Stegostoma tigrinum: one gene and its partner. Each later gene encodes a partner of the first gene's protein in a complex. Links are inferred from orthologs where the notes say so. Each region holds a gene or a part of one and is shown on either strand. Other genes may lie near its edges.

Evidence for each region.
Region 2: the proteins of sin3b (region 1) and phf12b are in contact, whole or in part, in a cryo-EM structure (PDB 8BPA), measured with the Homo sapiens proteins. The link is inferred for Stegostoma tigrinum from reciprocal best matches to the Homo sapiens genes SIN3B and PHF12. Residues at the interface, in NP_056075.1 of Homo sapiens: Glu307, Phe311, Leu318, Glu322, Val323, Tyr324, Glu325, Asn326, Leu328, Arg329, Cys330, Ile331, Leu333, Phe334, Asn335, Glu343, Leu347, Pro350, Phe351, Lys354, Phe365, Lys395, Arg396, Glu490, Glu493, Leu494, Val497, Tyr545, Arg546, Ile547; in NP_001028733.1 of Homo sapiens: Leu20, Met21, Gln23, Ile24, Gln25, Leu27, Leu28, Pro30, Pro31, Lys32, Thr33, Asn264, Leu266, Val267, Leu269, Val271, Val273, Phe275, Thr276, Asn278, Arg279, Ser280, Arg282, Cys292, Pro293, Leu294, Pro316, Asn317, His318, Ile319.

The regions. Positions count from the first base shown.
Region 1 is NC_081383.1:940,788-948,941, reverse strand, and holds the start of sin3b (paired amphipathic helix protein Sin3b), read left to right. Parts: upstream 1-5,012; 5' UTR 5,013-5,110; intron 5,111-8,154.
Region 2 is NC_081380.1:28,533,863-28,542,060, reverse strand, and holds the start of phf12b (PHD finger protein 12), read left to right. Parts: upstream 1-4,930; 5' UTR 4,931-5,663; coding exon 5,664-5,729; intron 5,730-6,006; coding exon 6,007-6,188; intron 6,189-8,198.

The DNA of each region.
Region 1 (8,154 bases):
AGAGTGTCCTTTCAAAAGGAAGAACCTGCAGGCTTACAGAGAACAAGAGAAATGCACCAAATGAATGGTTCACTTGCCTGTGCTGCACAATGCTGATTCTGTGACACCCAGCATGAGGCACAAACCCAGTAGTAGTGGACTCTGGGATAGGTTTTTTGGATCTATGGGAGATGTGTGTTGTGCCTATTCGCAATTGGAGAAGCTTGCGGTGAGCTTCCTTCTTGAATCAATGTGACATGCACAAGCCTGTTAGTTCCAGGATTTGCAGCCAGTGAGGCTGAAGGAACAGTGATATATTTCTGCGGTCTGGTTGAGTGGTTTGGAGGGGATCTTACCATATTCCCAATTATCTGCTGCCCTTGATGGTGGTGATTGTGTGGAAGGTCCTGTTGGATGAGTTACTGTGATGTATCTTGTAGATAGCATACACTGCTGCCACTGTGCGTTAGTGGTGAATGGAGTGAACATTGAAGGTGGTAGATTGCCAGTCAAGTGGGACCTGCTTTGTCCTGGATGGTATTGAGCTTTGAGTGTTGTTAAGCTGCACCCATCCATCAAGTGGGGAGCATTCCACCGCACTCCTGCCTTGTGCCTTGCAGATGGTGGACCTGCTTTGGGGAGTCAGGGCATGAGTTACACTTTATAGGTTGCTTAACCTCTTATGCTTTCTGAAAGTCACTAGTTTAAATAGCTAACCTAGTTCAGTTTCTGGTCAAAGGTAACCCTCAGGCTGTTGATAGTAGCATCAGTGATGGTAACATCATTGAATGTCAAGGGGTGATTGTTAGATTACCTTTTTATTGGAGAAGATCTTTCTGTGGCACTATGCCAGGATATTGTCGAGGCCTGTTTCTGAATTTGAAGAGTTGTGACTGCTGCTGGACATTGTGGAAACATCCCCCACTCCTGACCTTCCTTCCGATGGACGGAGGGTCATTGAAGCAGCTGAAGATGGCTGAGCCTATGACACTACCCTGAGGAACTCTGCAGAGATATTCTGGAGCTGAGATGTCTGACCTCTAGCCACAGCCATCTTCCAAGTATGACTTCAACCAGCAAAAAGATTTTCCCCAGTTCCTATTAATTATACTTTTGCTTAGAGCTTCTTGATGTCACATTCAAACAATCAGTGTGGGAGGCAAGCGAGGAAATTGTAGGAGCATTGATGTCAATTTTAAAAGTTTAGATACAGGAGAGGTGCTGGGGATTGGTAAATAACTGCCATGGTAGGGATAGGCCAGTGAGTCTGACATCAGTTGGGAGAAATTTCTGAGGATAGAATTCTATCTCCATTTGGATGGGGAAAGAATTAATCAGGCATATCGTGGCTTTGTCAGAGGGGAAATTGTCAAATTTGATTGATTCAGCTTGTCACCTCTTGAAAAAAATTTCAATGTAGTGCATTGGATATACTCTAAATAGCAGACTGGGCATAAAAGTAAAAGTCCATTGAATCCAGGCCAATTTTAGCAAATTAGATTCAAAATATTGGTTCAGTGACAGGAAACAGAAGATGACGGTAAAAGTCTCTTGTGACTGAAAGCCTGGGTTCCTTGCTGTTCCTCGTCTACTTGTGTGAATCCTAGATTATTCATGTCCTTATCATTGATTGTACGTTTTACCAGTAAGTTTACACTACACTAAAGTTTAATGATGTGGTAAATAGCAAAGAGGAGAGCCTCTGGTTATAGGACAGTAGTCAGATGGGCGGGACAATGGCAAATAGAATTTAATTCTGAAAATTTGAAGGACTTATAAAGTAAAGGAGTATATGATGAATGGTAGGACCCAAGGAATTATGGAATCCGGGGATTCAGCCACAAAACGACATGACCCACTATCACTCGTATCCTTATATACAGATGAGGAAGGACACCACTTTGATTGGGACAACACATCCATCCTAGGACAAGCCAAACAGAGACATGCACGAGAATTCCTAGAAGCATGGCATTCCAACCGGAACTCCATCAACAAACACATTGGCTTGGAGCCAATCTACCACCCTCTGAGAAAAAGAACAGGAAATTACATCACCAACGCAGGAAATGACATCACCAACCCAAGGAAACCTAAACCGATAAATAGAAAGCGGGACATAACACCAGCGCTTCACTGGAGGCTCACTGATGAGGTTACCTAGAATGGTGACAAAACGTCTGAAAACGAACTTTCCAGCTCAGCGAGCAAACTTACATCCAGAATCAGGGGGACCATAAATGATTGGAGGCAACAGGACAAGTGAATAGTGGTTAAAAGGCTTTTGGGATACTTGCCTTTTATTTTTCAAGGCATAGGGTATAAAAATGAGGAAGTTAAGATGGAGCTATATACAACTGTAGGCCATAGCTGGAATAGTGTGTGCAGTTCTGGCTTGATCGTAATGGTTGAATGGGTGATACGAGTGCTAGGAGGTTGCAGATTGTGCTAGAGTACAATGCTGCTGCTGATGGCCTCCATGGATGACCAGTCTTGAGTTGTTAGATCTGTTGAAGTCATTTAGTCTGGTTATAGTGCCATACAACATGATAGAGAGTGAGGGTGGGACTTCATGCCCACAAGAACTGTGCAGTGGTCACTCTTACTGATGCTGTCATGGGCCAGTGCATCTGCAACCAGCAGCTTGGTCAGGATGAGGTCAAGTCTGTTAGTCTGTTTTTCTTTTTTGATTCCCTCACCACCTGCTGCAGGCCCAGTCTAGCAGCTATGTCCTATAGGACCTGACCAGCCCGATCAGGCTTACTGCTGCTGAGCCACTGTTCATGGTGGGCATTGAAATCCCCCACCCAGAGTACATTTTGGGCACTTGCCATACTCAGTGTTTCCTCTAGGTGTTAACCACCAACATGGAGGAGTACTGATTCATTAGCTTAGGGAGAATGATACATGGTAATCGGCAGGAGGTTTCCTTGCCCATGTTTAACCTGATGCCCTGAGACTTCGGTCTGTCCAGAGTCCATGCTGAGCACTTCCAGGGTGACTCCCTTTCAACTATATACCACTGCTTCCCCCTCTCCTGGCAGGACAGGACATATCCAAGGGACAAGACTCTGTTGGGTTCATAAGGAAGCGTTTTACTTTGTTTCTAGTGCCTTGGTTGGTGGAGGCTGGTCTTTCCAGTTATATTCCTTTATTTAGATACACAACAGCGTCTTCCCAGGCCCTTTCAGAGGACAGGTAGGAGTCAGCCACTTTGCTGTGGGTCTGGAGTTGTGTGGGCAAGACCACTTAAGATCCTTCTCTAAAGGACATTCATCAACCAGGTGGGTTTTTACATCAATCAACAATGGTTGCATGGTCACCATTAGGCCAGCTTTTATTTCAAATTTTATTGAATTCATATTTCACCATTCACCCTGGTGGGATTTGAACCCCTGTTCCCCAGTTTAATGGATTAATCCAGTAAATCAGCTGCCACACCACAGCTTCTCATTGGCATATGGATTATACTCAGTGTGTGTCACTCACTCACTCACTCACTCACTCCTTTCAATGAGATCCTGGTTGGTTTGGCCCATGTTATTTAATTCTTAACTAACTTTTTTGTTAAGCATAAGATTTAAAAGTAACAACTGATCCAGCAGCAAGTGACATTTGTGAAAGTGAGTTCCAAACCCCTCCTACCCTTTGTGTGTAGAAGTACTTCCTAATGTCTCTTCTTAATGGTCTATGCCCCTACTTCTCAAATCTTAGTCAATAGAAATAGTTTATCTTTACCTACCCTGTCTTTTTCTGTTAACATAGTGAAGACTTTGATCAGGCCTTACATGGTATAGTCTGTCATCATAATACAACTCCTGAAGTCCAAGATAACAAAGTGTGAAGCTGGATGAACACAGCAGGCCAAGCAGCATCTCAGGAGCAGTCCAGATATCATTCTTTTAACAGTGACTTCCCAGGATGGGACACTGTACAGGAATCAGAAGCATGTGTTCCTACTTCAGACCGGCTGTAATACTCCTTGCGTGGCCCAGCCTTACCTGCTACAGAGTTGAATTCACACCCAGGTTTAATCTCAGTGAACATTCTACTGGGGTGTTATGGGATTGTAACAGATTTAGTACGGCCAACAGCAGCTCAGGGAATTAAACATAAACTTTGCTTTTTTAAAATTACACCAATTTGATTTTTTTAAAAAAATCTGACATGGTTGCTCAGAGTTGTGTGCTGATTCCTAGTATCACAAAGTAGATAACCATTCAGCCCACTCATATAAGAGGTTTTGCTAACCTGAGTGAGATGACCAGAAGTAGATTTCTGATGTTGCCACCACAATGTCAGCGGTTTCCTGATAAATGGGAATCCGGGGTGACCAGAACAAATCCGTTCATCCACATCACCTCCTGACAGTCCCTTTCCTGAATTCATGAGGCAGCTTCACTCCCTCTGCTTGGGGGCGGTTACAGGAGATAATGTCCCCGCTCAGATCCATCACCAAATGAATATTAATGTGAGAAAGTTTTGCCTTAAAGGGTTTCTGTGGACGTTCTCCCCCGGGACAGTCAGGCTCAGGAAGGCTGGAGTGAGACCTGGAGCATTCTGAGGGATTACTTCATCAAACATCTTCCACATCCGCTTTAAACTGGGAATGGTTTGGTGTTTGTTGGAAGAATCATGAAACACGACAGCACTGGGCATTCAGCCCGCCCAGTGTGGGCTAGCTCTGAGGCAGAGTTACCCCCATCTTCCTAATTTCTTGTTTTTGGTTCATATCTTCATTTAATTTTGTTCCTGAAGCCGCTTTGGAAGTTATTAAATCTGTTAAATTGTTTTTTCTAACCATCTTCAACTGTTTCATCAAACACCTCCCCCTGCAATGCAATATTTACAGCATCGGCCTGCGTTTGGTTCTGAAGCCGGTGGAGGGAAGGGCTAAGCCCGGCTCCTGGTGCACACCCCCAGCATTGAGGGCGCGCGGTCTCGGCCCGGAACCTTCGGGCAGCGTCCAAAGCGGCTGCCCCGGACCTTCTCTGGGAGGCACCGTGGTCTGATTGGTTACGGGCTGGCACAGTCCCAGGGATGGGTTTCACGGACGGACCGGAAACGGGGTGCCGCTGGGGGCGCGGAGCCGGAACCGAGAGGAAGCGCGGAGCCCGGGCTGGAGCCGCGGGTGAGTGGGGTTGGGGGGGGGGGACATGGTGGGGGAATGAGGGGCAGCTTGATATGACGATCAACGATCTCCCCCCCATCCTCCGCCCCCCATCCCCCGCCCCCCATCCTCCGCCCCCCCATCGATCCCCCCCATCCTCCTCCCCCCTCCCTCCATCCCCCCATCCCCTATCCCCACCCACCCCCCCCACCCATCCTCCCCCTCCCCTTCACCTTTCTCCATCTCTCCCCCCACCCTCCCATCTACACCCCTCCATCTCCGATCCCCCCATCTCCTCCCCCCACACCCCACACCCCCTCCCCCCACACCCCCACCCTCGCATCTCCTCCCCCCCCCCACACCCCCACCCTCGCATCTCCTCCCCCCCCCCACACCCCCACCCTCGCATCTCCTCCCCCCCCCCACACCCCCACCCTCGCATCTCCTCCCCCCCCCACACCCCCACCCTCGCATCTCCTGCCCCCCCACACCCCCCACCCTCGCATCTCCCACTGCCCACCCATCTCCTCCCCTTCATGTCAGGGTCCTTCTTACTCATTTGATTCATGTTATTTAAGAAACTGCTGGATTAAATTTCCTTCGCGGGATAATGAGAAAGTTATATTTGTTGGATTGCAGTGAAAAATTTGTTTGCATCATCACAAGCACTAAATCTCCATTGAGTGCAAAGGAACATAATGTATTTCTGTTTGTATTAAAAGGTAGTAGTTGGCAATATTTTGAACTATGCATCAGAAAATTATTAGCTGTCAGAAATATACAGTCTTAGTATTTACCAAGTCTTTTATCAGTGTCTATTCTGATTGTTCATCAAGGAGAATAAATTTTAAGCCCAACAGTCCACACCAGTCAGCTTCTCAGTAAGTGTAATATATTTTGAAATGAAGATATTTGAAATGTATCAACTATGACTAAATAACCAAGTTTGGAGATCTGTTTCTGAGGTGCGTTTGTTAAGATCTGACCATTTCACCCAATGGGTGGGCCAATTTTTGTTGGTGGAGTCTCATCTGGATGAATTTCATTTTAAGTTATGAAAAAAGCTTGTGGTACATATGAATGTATGTGAATTTGCTGTAATTTGCTATGATTTGATTTCCCTGTTTTTTTTGTGCTTGTTGTTAGTGGAGTCCACCTGGTGTCCAGTGATGAATCTCCTGGAGACTTTGCCTGTGTCTGACACTGTGCCTTCAATTTGGTTTCAAATATGATTTTTGAGAATGTTTTTTCAGAAATGTTTCTTGTTTGACAGATGAAGTTAATTTTTTATACAATTTGATGGCTTCCATGCAAATCATTGATGATCTATCTATTTATTAAATTTCACAGTGGCCTGTTTGATCTCCCAGTTATGATGTGGGTGAATGATGCTGTGCTGGGATTTGAACTCTGGATCCCAGAAAGTTATCCGGGTCTCTAGATTAACAGTACAGTGATAATACCATTGGGCCATCACATTCCCTTGTGGCCTCGATTCTACTTTACACAAACCTTAACATCCTGATCAAACAAAAATCAAACTCAACCTTGAATAGATTGAATCAGCCAGGCTCCACTCTTTGTGGATGAGAGAATTCAAAAATGTAATGACCCAGTATAACATAACTGGAAAATGCCTTACTTTGAAACTCTGTTCCCACATTTTCCCCCGTAGACTCCCTACTGTGTGGAAGCAGGCCATTCGACCTATCGACTTCACCAACATGCCAAACAACATCCCTCTCAGTCCCACCGCCACCAATACCTTTGTAACCCTGCATTTTCCCATTGGCTAATCCACCTAACCTACATATCTTTTGACTCTGGGAGGAAAATGGAGCACCTGGAGAAAACTCACCCAGACACAGGGAGAACATGCAAACTCCACACAGGCTGTTGGCTGAGGGTGGTGTTAAACCCAAGTCCCTGGTGCTGTGAGGCCACAGTGCTCACCACTGTGCCACTCTCAAGAGGAAATATTGTCTCAGTATTTACCCTGTGAGGCTGCCTCTCTTACGTTGCATCTGGTTAGCATATTTGAAGTCAAGCCTTGCTATTCCTGGAATTGTCATAAATGTTACAGACTTTGAAAGTAAGCAGAATTATCCGATCTACATGACTAATTGACTCAGGTCTGCAGAAAGCACAGGACCAGGTTCCTGTGCTTAACAAGAATTACTTTATTTGGGTTGGATTGAAGTGTTTTTCCCAGGGACGGGGAATTGAAAACTAGAGGGTATAGGTTTAAGGTGAGAGGGAAAAGAGTTAGGAAGGTCCTGAGGGGCAACCTCTTCTCGCAGAGAGTGGTGCGAATATGGAAGACAACATTTGGATAGGTACTTGGATGGGAAGGGTTTAGCGGGATAGGGACCAAATGTGGGCAATTGGGACTGAGTGGGCACCATGGACCAGTTTGGGCAGAAGGGGCTGTTTCCATGCTGTATTACTCCACTACTCTACTCTACTCCATAAGTAATTACTTTGCTTTATTACTTTATTAGGGGATGCAAAGGCATATGGTATTACTGCTAGAGTATTAATCAAGAAACTTGGCAATGATCTGTGAACCAAGGTTTGTATCCTGTCATGGTAGATGGTGGAATTTGAATTGAATTAAAAATCTGGAATTAAGGGTCTAATGATGACCATTAATCCATTCTCGATTGTCAGGAAAAACCCTCTGGTTTGCTAATGCCCTTCGGGAATGGAATGTGCTGTCCTTACCTGGTCTGGCCTACACGTGACTCCAGACCCACAGCAATGTGGTTGACTCTTAACTGCCCTCTGGGCAATTAGGGATGGGCAGTAAATGCTGGCGAGTGATGTCCACATCCTGTGAGTGAATAAAAAACAATTACAAATTAACAGACTGTAGGTGCAGGTAAACAGTTGTGAGCAGTCAGCATGTGACTCTTCTAGTTAAAACTTTAACCCCTTTATAAACTCCCCCTTAGACCCACCTGGGAAAAAACATGGGTTTTAAGGATGCAGGGAAACAGGGAAAGGAATCTGGAGAAGAATGATCTAGAAGCAACATTCTGATCGGCTAAGAATGATTATTGTGC
Region 2 (8,198 bases), on another chromosome or scaffold:
AAGTGGCTCATGACTGGAAGGTGTTGTTGTTTGTCATGAACCGAGCGTAGGTGCTCTACAAAGCGGTCTCTCAGCCTCTGGTTAGTCTCACCGACGTAGAGGAGGCCACATCAGGAACAGCGGATACAATAGACCACATTAGTGGACGTGCCGGTGAATATCTGTCTGATGTGGAAGGGTTTTTTGGGGCCTGTGATGGAAGTGAGGGAGGAGATTTAGGGGCATATAGGGTATCCTCACTTAAAGTCAGAGTTGCATTCCTGAACATCATGACTTTAAGTGAAATAAAGAAGCACTGAAACATTGGAGACAGGAGCAGGGGATCTATCCCTTCGAGCCTGTTCGATCATTCATCACAACCACGGCTAATCACCCGACACAATAGTCTGATCCTGCTTTCTCCCTATAACCTTTGATCCCAATCACCCCAAAATACTATATCTGGTCACCTCTAGAATACATTCAACATTGTGGCATCAACTATTTCATGTGGTAATGAATTCAACAGGCTCACCACTCTTTGGGTGAAGAAATGTCTCCTCGTCTCCGTCTTAAATGGCCTACCCAAAAACCAGCATTATGTAAAGTGCGGTTTCCCATAGGAATCAACATTGAAGCCAAAGTTCGGTCTCTGAGGACAATTCTTGCCTAGAAAAGCCAATGTAAAAGATGAAATACTGTAGCATAGCACATGCAGCACAATGTCTTCCTGGCTGAAATATCTTGCAAAGCAAAACAAGGAAAGCTTCAGTGAAGAAAGCAGCATTCATGCTTGCACAGAAGGATTTTTACTGCGTGAAAATATCAACTCATTTCTTGTGATACAAGTTGTCTTTTGTCTCCTGTCAGCACCATTGAAACATGCACGGTTTCCACTGTCAAGAGGGTGGCCCCACAAGATATCTACTTGACCTTCGAGAAAGTAGTCATGGTTTCCCTCAGAGGATGCACTAGCTAGGCTGCCTACTGCATCCTCTCCCAACCCAGATTCTAACACATCAGCGGGTATTTTAGCTGGATTAAAGTCAGCAGGACATGTTGGTAAGCACAGTACTACCACATCTCCACAGTTGACCAAGGAAGAACTACTCTAAAGTTGCTGGTACTTTGATGACTACCGGAGAACAGGCACCTGCTCAGGTTCTGGTAGGAGGGGACCCAACAGGGTCAACAAATCACAACTTCACCGAAATGCACAAATAGACACAGAAGCAGCCAGCAGGTTTGTTGAAGGCACGAGACAAACTAACTCAAAGGTTGGAGGATTCCACCAAGGCTGTTTGTACTGTGCTTTCTTTGGCACAGAAGTGTCTGTCTGCCTCTATGGACAATTGTCATGGAGACCCAAGTCTAGCATACAGACCACCAGCTAGATTTATGCACAGGCCTATACTCCATCAATCTAACCAGTACCAACAGCAATGCCACAGAGGAACAAGGGACCTTACGGTAAGTCCAAGTGCCCCTTTCTCACAAGTGAGAGGCCCCAACTAGTACAAATCTAGCCAGAGGAGGAGCTACATATAGGCTCCCCAGAAGTCTACTCTAAAATGACCCTAGAGCTGGCTGCACCTTCTATATCAACACTGACTACCATCCTCACCCCTACGGGAGTTCAAACCGAGGAAGGTGCACCAACTTCTGTGCTGAACACATCTAGAATGTCTGTGCCCTCTCGCCACAAATGTCACCAGGCTTGTCTAACCAGGAGTCCCCCTATGTTTTCTGCCATGAAATATTCCCTCGGATGTTGTCCAAGATAGAGGACCAGAAGAATATGTGGCGATCTAGAGTTGCCAGGCAACAACTCTGACTTTCATGTCAGGAAAACTCACCATCTAGTTTCTATCCGGTCGGTGGGAAACTGGACATCACTGACATGAGATTAGGAAAGAACAAAATGTTAATACGCGCAGAGAGACCCTCAGGTTAAAAGTCTGATATGGTACCAAATGCTATCAATACTTAGATTGCATATACAATTGAACTAATCAGCCTGCATATTTGCAAAGTTCCTGAAATCTATATCTTCTTTCCTGTCCGGATGCTCCTCTGAAGTGATATTCCACTGGCTACAGCATAGCTGCTGCAAAATGCTGAGTTTCAGTGCAGGAAGCTGCAGATGGCCTTGGAGGAAAAACTTGAGCAGCCACGGGCCAAGGAAGATTCAATTTCAGAATTCACAACTGAATATTTGTTTCCAAATTAAAGGCCACCATTCTCAGCGCAAAACCAGAAATAATTGAGCTGTTGCTGAAAATTTATCCCTGCTTTTGTCACCTCTACAGTCACCCATTCCGATTCTGTCTGGTAACCTACTCTTTTTGCACGCTTCAAAAGCTTGACCTTGTTTAAAACTCTGCTGCTTCAGAAGAGGCCTTATTTCCAATGCACTTACTACCCTTCTACTCTCTACTATATATTGATGATCAACACTTCAAATTAAAAATTTCTCATCCCTGTATTCAAATCCCTTCACAGTCACAATCTTTCTGATTTATGTGCTGCAATGCCAATCACTACCAGCTTATGCTACGGTTAGATTTCTGCCACTATTCTCTTTCCTTGATCAGGTTACCATGGTTCAGTTTACGGTGTTAGAGGTAAACTGCTGATGAGACTTAATGAGGTGAGATTCTTGCCATGAACAATACATAGCTTTTCACATGAATGTTATGATTGCAGTGGATTGTACTGTTCAACAAATCAGATCATAGAATGAAACCTGGCTTAATAGACTTCTTAACATCTTAATTAATTTGCTGGTCATTCACTGACACACAAGTACACAGGGTTTAATAGGAGAAGTTCATTGCACAAAAGCCAAAGCCAAAGCCAAAATCAAGGTCAAAAGAAAACAAACCAAGCTATCTTGATACAGGACACAGTTTTAAAAATTCTTAAAACTTCCATCAAGATTCAGTCCGCTGCCCATTCAGATCTGCGTCCAAATTAGCATTTCTCTAATTCTGGCCTCTTACATATCCACAAATCTTCACAACCAGGCATCAAGACCCAAAGCTATGAGAAACCTTCTCTCACTTCTACAATTTTGTTTCATCCAGATTTTCCATAATATATACAGCTGAAGATGGGTAACTGTACATTCTTTGCAATAACAGTCAACGCTGGAGACCCCCCCCCCCAACAAGTATGTGTCCTGAGCCCCCTATTGTACTCCATGTACACTGATGGCTATGATGCCAAATTCCAAACAAATGTCATCTGCAAATTCATGGACGACACCACTGTAGCAGGACGGATATCTAACAACCATGAGTCAAAGTACAGAAGGGAGATAGAGGCTTAGCGACATGGTGAAATGAGACCAACCTATTTTTCAGTGTTAGCAAAACTAAAGAACTGAATATTGGCTTCAGAAAGAAAGGAGGAGACACACCCCCATCTACAACAACAGAATTGAAGTTGAAAGAGTGGTGAGCATCAAGTTCCTCGAAGTAACGATAACTGACAACCTGTCCTGGACTTCCCACATAGGTGACTCTTCTTCCTCAGGCATCTCAGGAAATTTGGCATGCCCATAAGGACGCTCACCAACTTCCGCAGATGAAAAATTGAAAGCATACTGTCTGGGTGCATAACGGCCTGGTACGGCAACAGCTCTGCCTCGGATGACAAGAAACTACAGAAGATTGTGTGCACAGTCCAAAACATCATGGAAGCCAACCTTCCATCCATCAACTCCATGGTTGCTGCGGAAAGGCAGCCAACATCAGCAAAGACCTATTGCACTTCTGCAATGATCTCCTACAACCTCTTCTGTCAGGCAGAAGATACTGAAGCCTGAACACACGCACCATCAGGTTCAGGAACAGCTTTTGCCTGACCGTTATTAGACTGATAAATGGACTCTCTTGTCTCAAATAAGGTTGATCTTGCTAAACATCGATTTCGCCTAGCACATGACCTGTGCAATGTAACCCATATAGATCAAAGTAAATCCTTCTTTACTATGATCTGCCTGTACTGCTTGTAAACAAAATTTTTCACTGTACTTCAGTAGACAGTCAGCTTTTTGACCAAGTTTTTGTCCTGATATTTCTGATTTTTTTTCAATTCTTGTGCAATATAACACTTCAGGACATTTTCCTATCCCACAGACTGTATACAAAATACATGTTGTCATGGTGAATGTAGTTACTTTTTACTCAGAATTGGCTGCAAAATGCAAGGTTCATGATCTTGTCTAATTTCAAATTACGGCTCTCTTTGATTAATTTCGTGAAAGGTTACACGAAACTGAAATCAAAACTACTGACACTTTTCATCACAGGTCACAGCATATGTTGACATGATAAAATATGAAATGAGAGTACACATAAACCACCTTCGTCCATGTCTACAAAATCAAATAACTTAAGGGCAACTCCAAGTTAAGGTCAAGAACAGGACAAATAAGTGCAAATAACAACTCGCAAGTTTGTAGGATTTGGAAGCTGCTCGAGATTCAAGGCACCCTCGTAACTTACACTACTGCTCCCAAGAAGCCGCATCCTCACGTTACTGCCTAACGCAGTCTTGACACAGGACATGCGCAGTAAATGGGGGTCGTTGTGCGGGAGGTAGGCTGCGCATGCGGACTTGTCAATGAATGGATTGTGGGGGAGGGGGAGGGTTTGTAAAGTTAGGGTGAGAGGCAGAAGGGCGGGAGGGAGAAAGGGAGTGGAAGCGGATTGGCCGAGCGCTGCCCGGATCGCGATCACGCGACGGGGAGTCGGGGGCTGACGTCAAGAGATGACCGCGAGCCTCAGCCCCTCACCCTTCCGACGGGCACGCGTGCGCATTTCGCGCAGGCGCAGCGATAGAGTAACAAAAAACCCCAACGGCCGGTTGCGCAGGCGCGTTGGCTACTTGCTTGGAAAGACCCGGCGCGTGCGCAGTCGTATGCCCCTTTCTTCTCTTTTCCTCCCCTTCCTCTCCCATCCCCCCATCAACCAGCAGGCACTTGCGCAGTACGTGTGTGGTGTGTGTGTGTGTGTGTGTGGAAAGTTTGCGCCAACTTGGAGGCAGAGAGAGAAAAAATGTAAAGCGAGCAGCCTGGCCTCCGAGTGTTTGTGTATGTGCTGGCGGCCTTCAGACAGCACCGAGAACCGGGTGACAGATCGCCTCCGGCAGCCGTGGCCTTCTCCTCCCTCCCCACAGTCCGTCCGGCTTCAGGATTTATCCGCTTCATGGTGGTGCCTCTGGGGGGGTCTCTTCGCACGGATGGAAAGCAAGTGGTTCGACACGAATATTATTGTCGCCCAGGGAAGGCTTCGTGTCGGTTAGGCCCTGGTCGAGGCCTGGCTGCGTTGTTGCTGCTGCTGTCGTCGCTGGAGCCCGTTGAATCGCGAGCCGGGATTTCTTGTGGATTTATAAATATTACTATTATTATTATTATTCTGATTGTTTTTTCTCGGACACTGGTCCCGATCTGTGCCTTCGTTTTGGCCAAGAAAGTGGGAAGCTAAGCCAGGGTTTGAGGGGGGTGAATACCCCCCCCCGACCCTTTTCCACCCCCCAAAAACCCATTTTCGTCTCTTTCCCCCCCCTTACGGATTTTTTGTGGGTGTTGGTGACAGCTCAAGGGGGGGGGGGAAACTTGTCTGCTGCTGCCTCGCCACCTTTTTTTTAAAAAAGGAAAAGAAAAGCGGCCGTGTTGAATGTGGGATAAAATGGAGACCAAGACGATTGTCTACGACTTGGATACCTCCGGAGGGCTGATGGAGGTGAGGCTTTTTCTTTGCTCCTCTCAGCTGCTGATCGCGCCCAAACAAATCCACAGCCAGGATTAGGATTAAAAACAGCAAAATTCATTTCTTTTTGCTTATTTAAAAAAACCTCAATACAAATGGCATCTATCTTTCTCAACCGTCTTTTTTGTTAAATAAACAAACGTTTTGGGTCTAGTCTTTTTTCGGCCTGCATGGTGAAAATGGTTTAATCTTACGACCCCCCCGCCAACCCTTCTCCCTTCTCTTCCTGTTTTTATTCTCTTCGCTGCAGAAAATCCAAGCGTTGTTGGCCCCTCCGAAGAGCGAGGAGAGCGACAAGAAGGCCAAGAAGCTGGAGAAGGAGCCGAGGCGGAGCGGCCGGGCCACCAACCACGACACTTGCGATAGCTGCAAGGAGGGGGGAGACCTACTCTGCTGCGACCATTGCCCGGCCGCCTTCCACCTCCAGTGCTGGTCAGTACTTGATGCAAGCGTCGATCTTTCCTCCAGCCCCTCTTACAGAGGGGGACACCTAACTCGGGGATCTGTGATACTGGGGATGGGGGTTTCTTGATAGAGAGCGGCCTGCTTCATCCAGCTCTATACCTTGTTATCTTTGGTTTAAACCTTCTTGGGTTTTTGTGTGTTTTTTTTTGTCTGCTGTCTTTCCCAGGCTGGTGTGTGGTTTTAGGTGTAGTTTCCTAGGTTTGGCCTCAAGGTGTGTGGACCTCGGTTGTGTTTTAGTGGCTGCTTTCTGTACTGCAGTTGTTGCGGCTAAACGATTTCCTTGTCCTGCTCTCTTCTCTCCCCCTGCCCCCGCTCCACGTTTGAGAGGTCTAAGCGAATCCTGCAGCTGGACCTGAACTTTAGAAAGGTGAAGGAAGCTATACACGCTTAAACAAGTGGTTGTCCCGTTAATTGGAGGAGGTTCTGCTGTCACCACATTCGGATCTTCATTGCCAATGCACCCCTCTTCTGACTTTGCAGTTAGGGTCTCATTAAAGTATATGGTAGCAAGATGGGTAGGATAGGGGCACAGTGACTAAACACACCTATCCGCTTCTCATCATCATGGCCTTGTTTGTCCTCAGGGATAGTTTCCTACAAATAGGCCTGGTCCCTGAGCACCCATCTGGGCACCGAGCCGGATGCCTTCCTTTCCTTCACTTAATGTGTTTGCAAATACGCAACATGGCGACCTCCGTTTAAATTATATTTTCTACTCGGAGCGCCATTTTAGTTGACTTCTCGGTTCTGGAGGTTAGTGTCCGATTTAAACTGAGTTCGAAAGGCTCTTGGAAATTTTGTAAAGAAGTGGAGGAGTTCTGATAAATCTCTGGTACACTTTTTCGCTTATTGTTTTATCATTTTCAAGATTCTCTTTTTAAAAAAAACTCACGAAAGTCATGTTATCCCTGTGATTTAAGATTATACAAAGGCATTACATGAAAGTTATTCCATTCAGTCTTGTAATGTCAGTTTATCTCTAATTTTTTTGGCGCTTATCGAGGATTTAAACTTTTCACTTTAAATATGAGAATGCTTGAATGGTCAGTGTAAATATCTCACTGACCGAATAAAACGCACTAGATTTTAATATTTATCTATATCAAGCAGTAAAAAGTACTACTTTACAAGACACTGGCACTTGACAACTTAAATTTAGGTCAGACAATATCTTTCTAAGTTAGATCACTTTGATATCTGAATAATCTATTAAATTTCCATTGACATCTTGCTTTATAAACTGGTTTGTTAGATTTCTAGAGTTCTTCCAGGAGAAAAATGTAGTTGTTAATGCCTTTATGTCTGCTGTACTTTAACTCCATCTTGTCATCAGTATTGTGGTTATATGATTGTCCAGTGCTGTTATTCCCCATAGTCTTTGGAGCACTTTGCTATGTTGAGTTTTGGAATTCTTGTGTTGCATTATTATGCTGTTAAGGTCGTTGAGAATGATTGTGTCCAAATGTATAGCCTATTCAGATTCTAAAGTTTTGGAACTTTAACACTTATTTTGATGTTTTAAACACTTAATTAACCTAATTAAATGTTTTGAATTATTCCTTTTAATTCTTGGGGCAATTTTAATTGAAGGTCAAACTTTATTGTAAATGAAGAGGACTTGCATTAATTTTATGCCTTTCATGACAATTTAGCTTTATAGCCAATAGACCAGTAGTAGAGTAAGAAATACAGTGGTAATTGTAACAAGTCAAGCTTTACAAACAGATGTGAGAATAACCAGGAAATGTTTCAGGTGTCAGTTGAAGGCTAAATATTGCCAAGACTCTGGGGTAATTTCCCTGCTCTTCAAAATGTGATGAGATTGTTTACATCCACCCAAGAATGCAACTTTAATGTTGTACCTGAGTAGTAACATCTCAACAATTCAGAACTCCTTCAGTGTGGAATGGCAGCATAAACCTTAATTTTGTGCTCAGGTCTCTGAGTTGAGCTTTTTATCTATTTTGATTTTTGCGT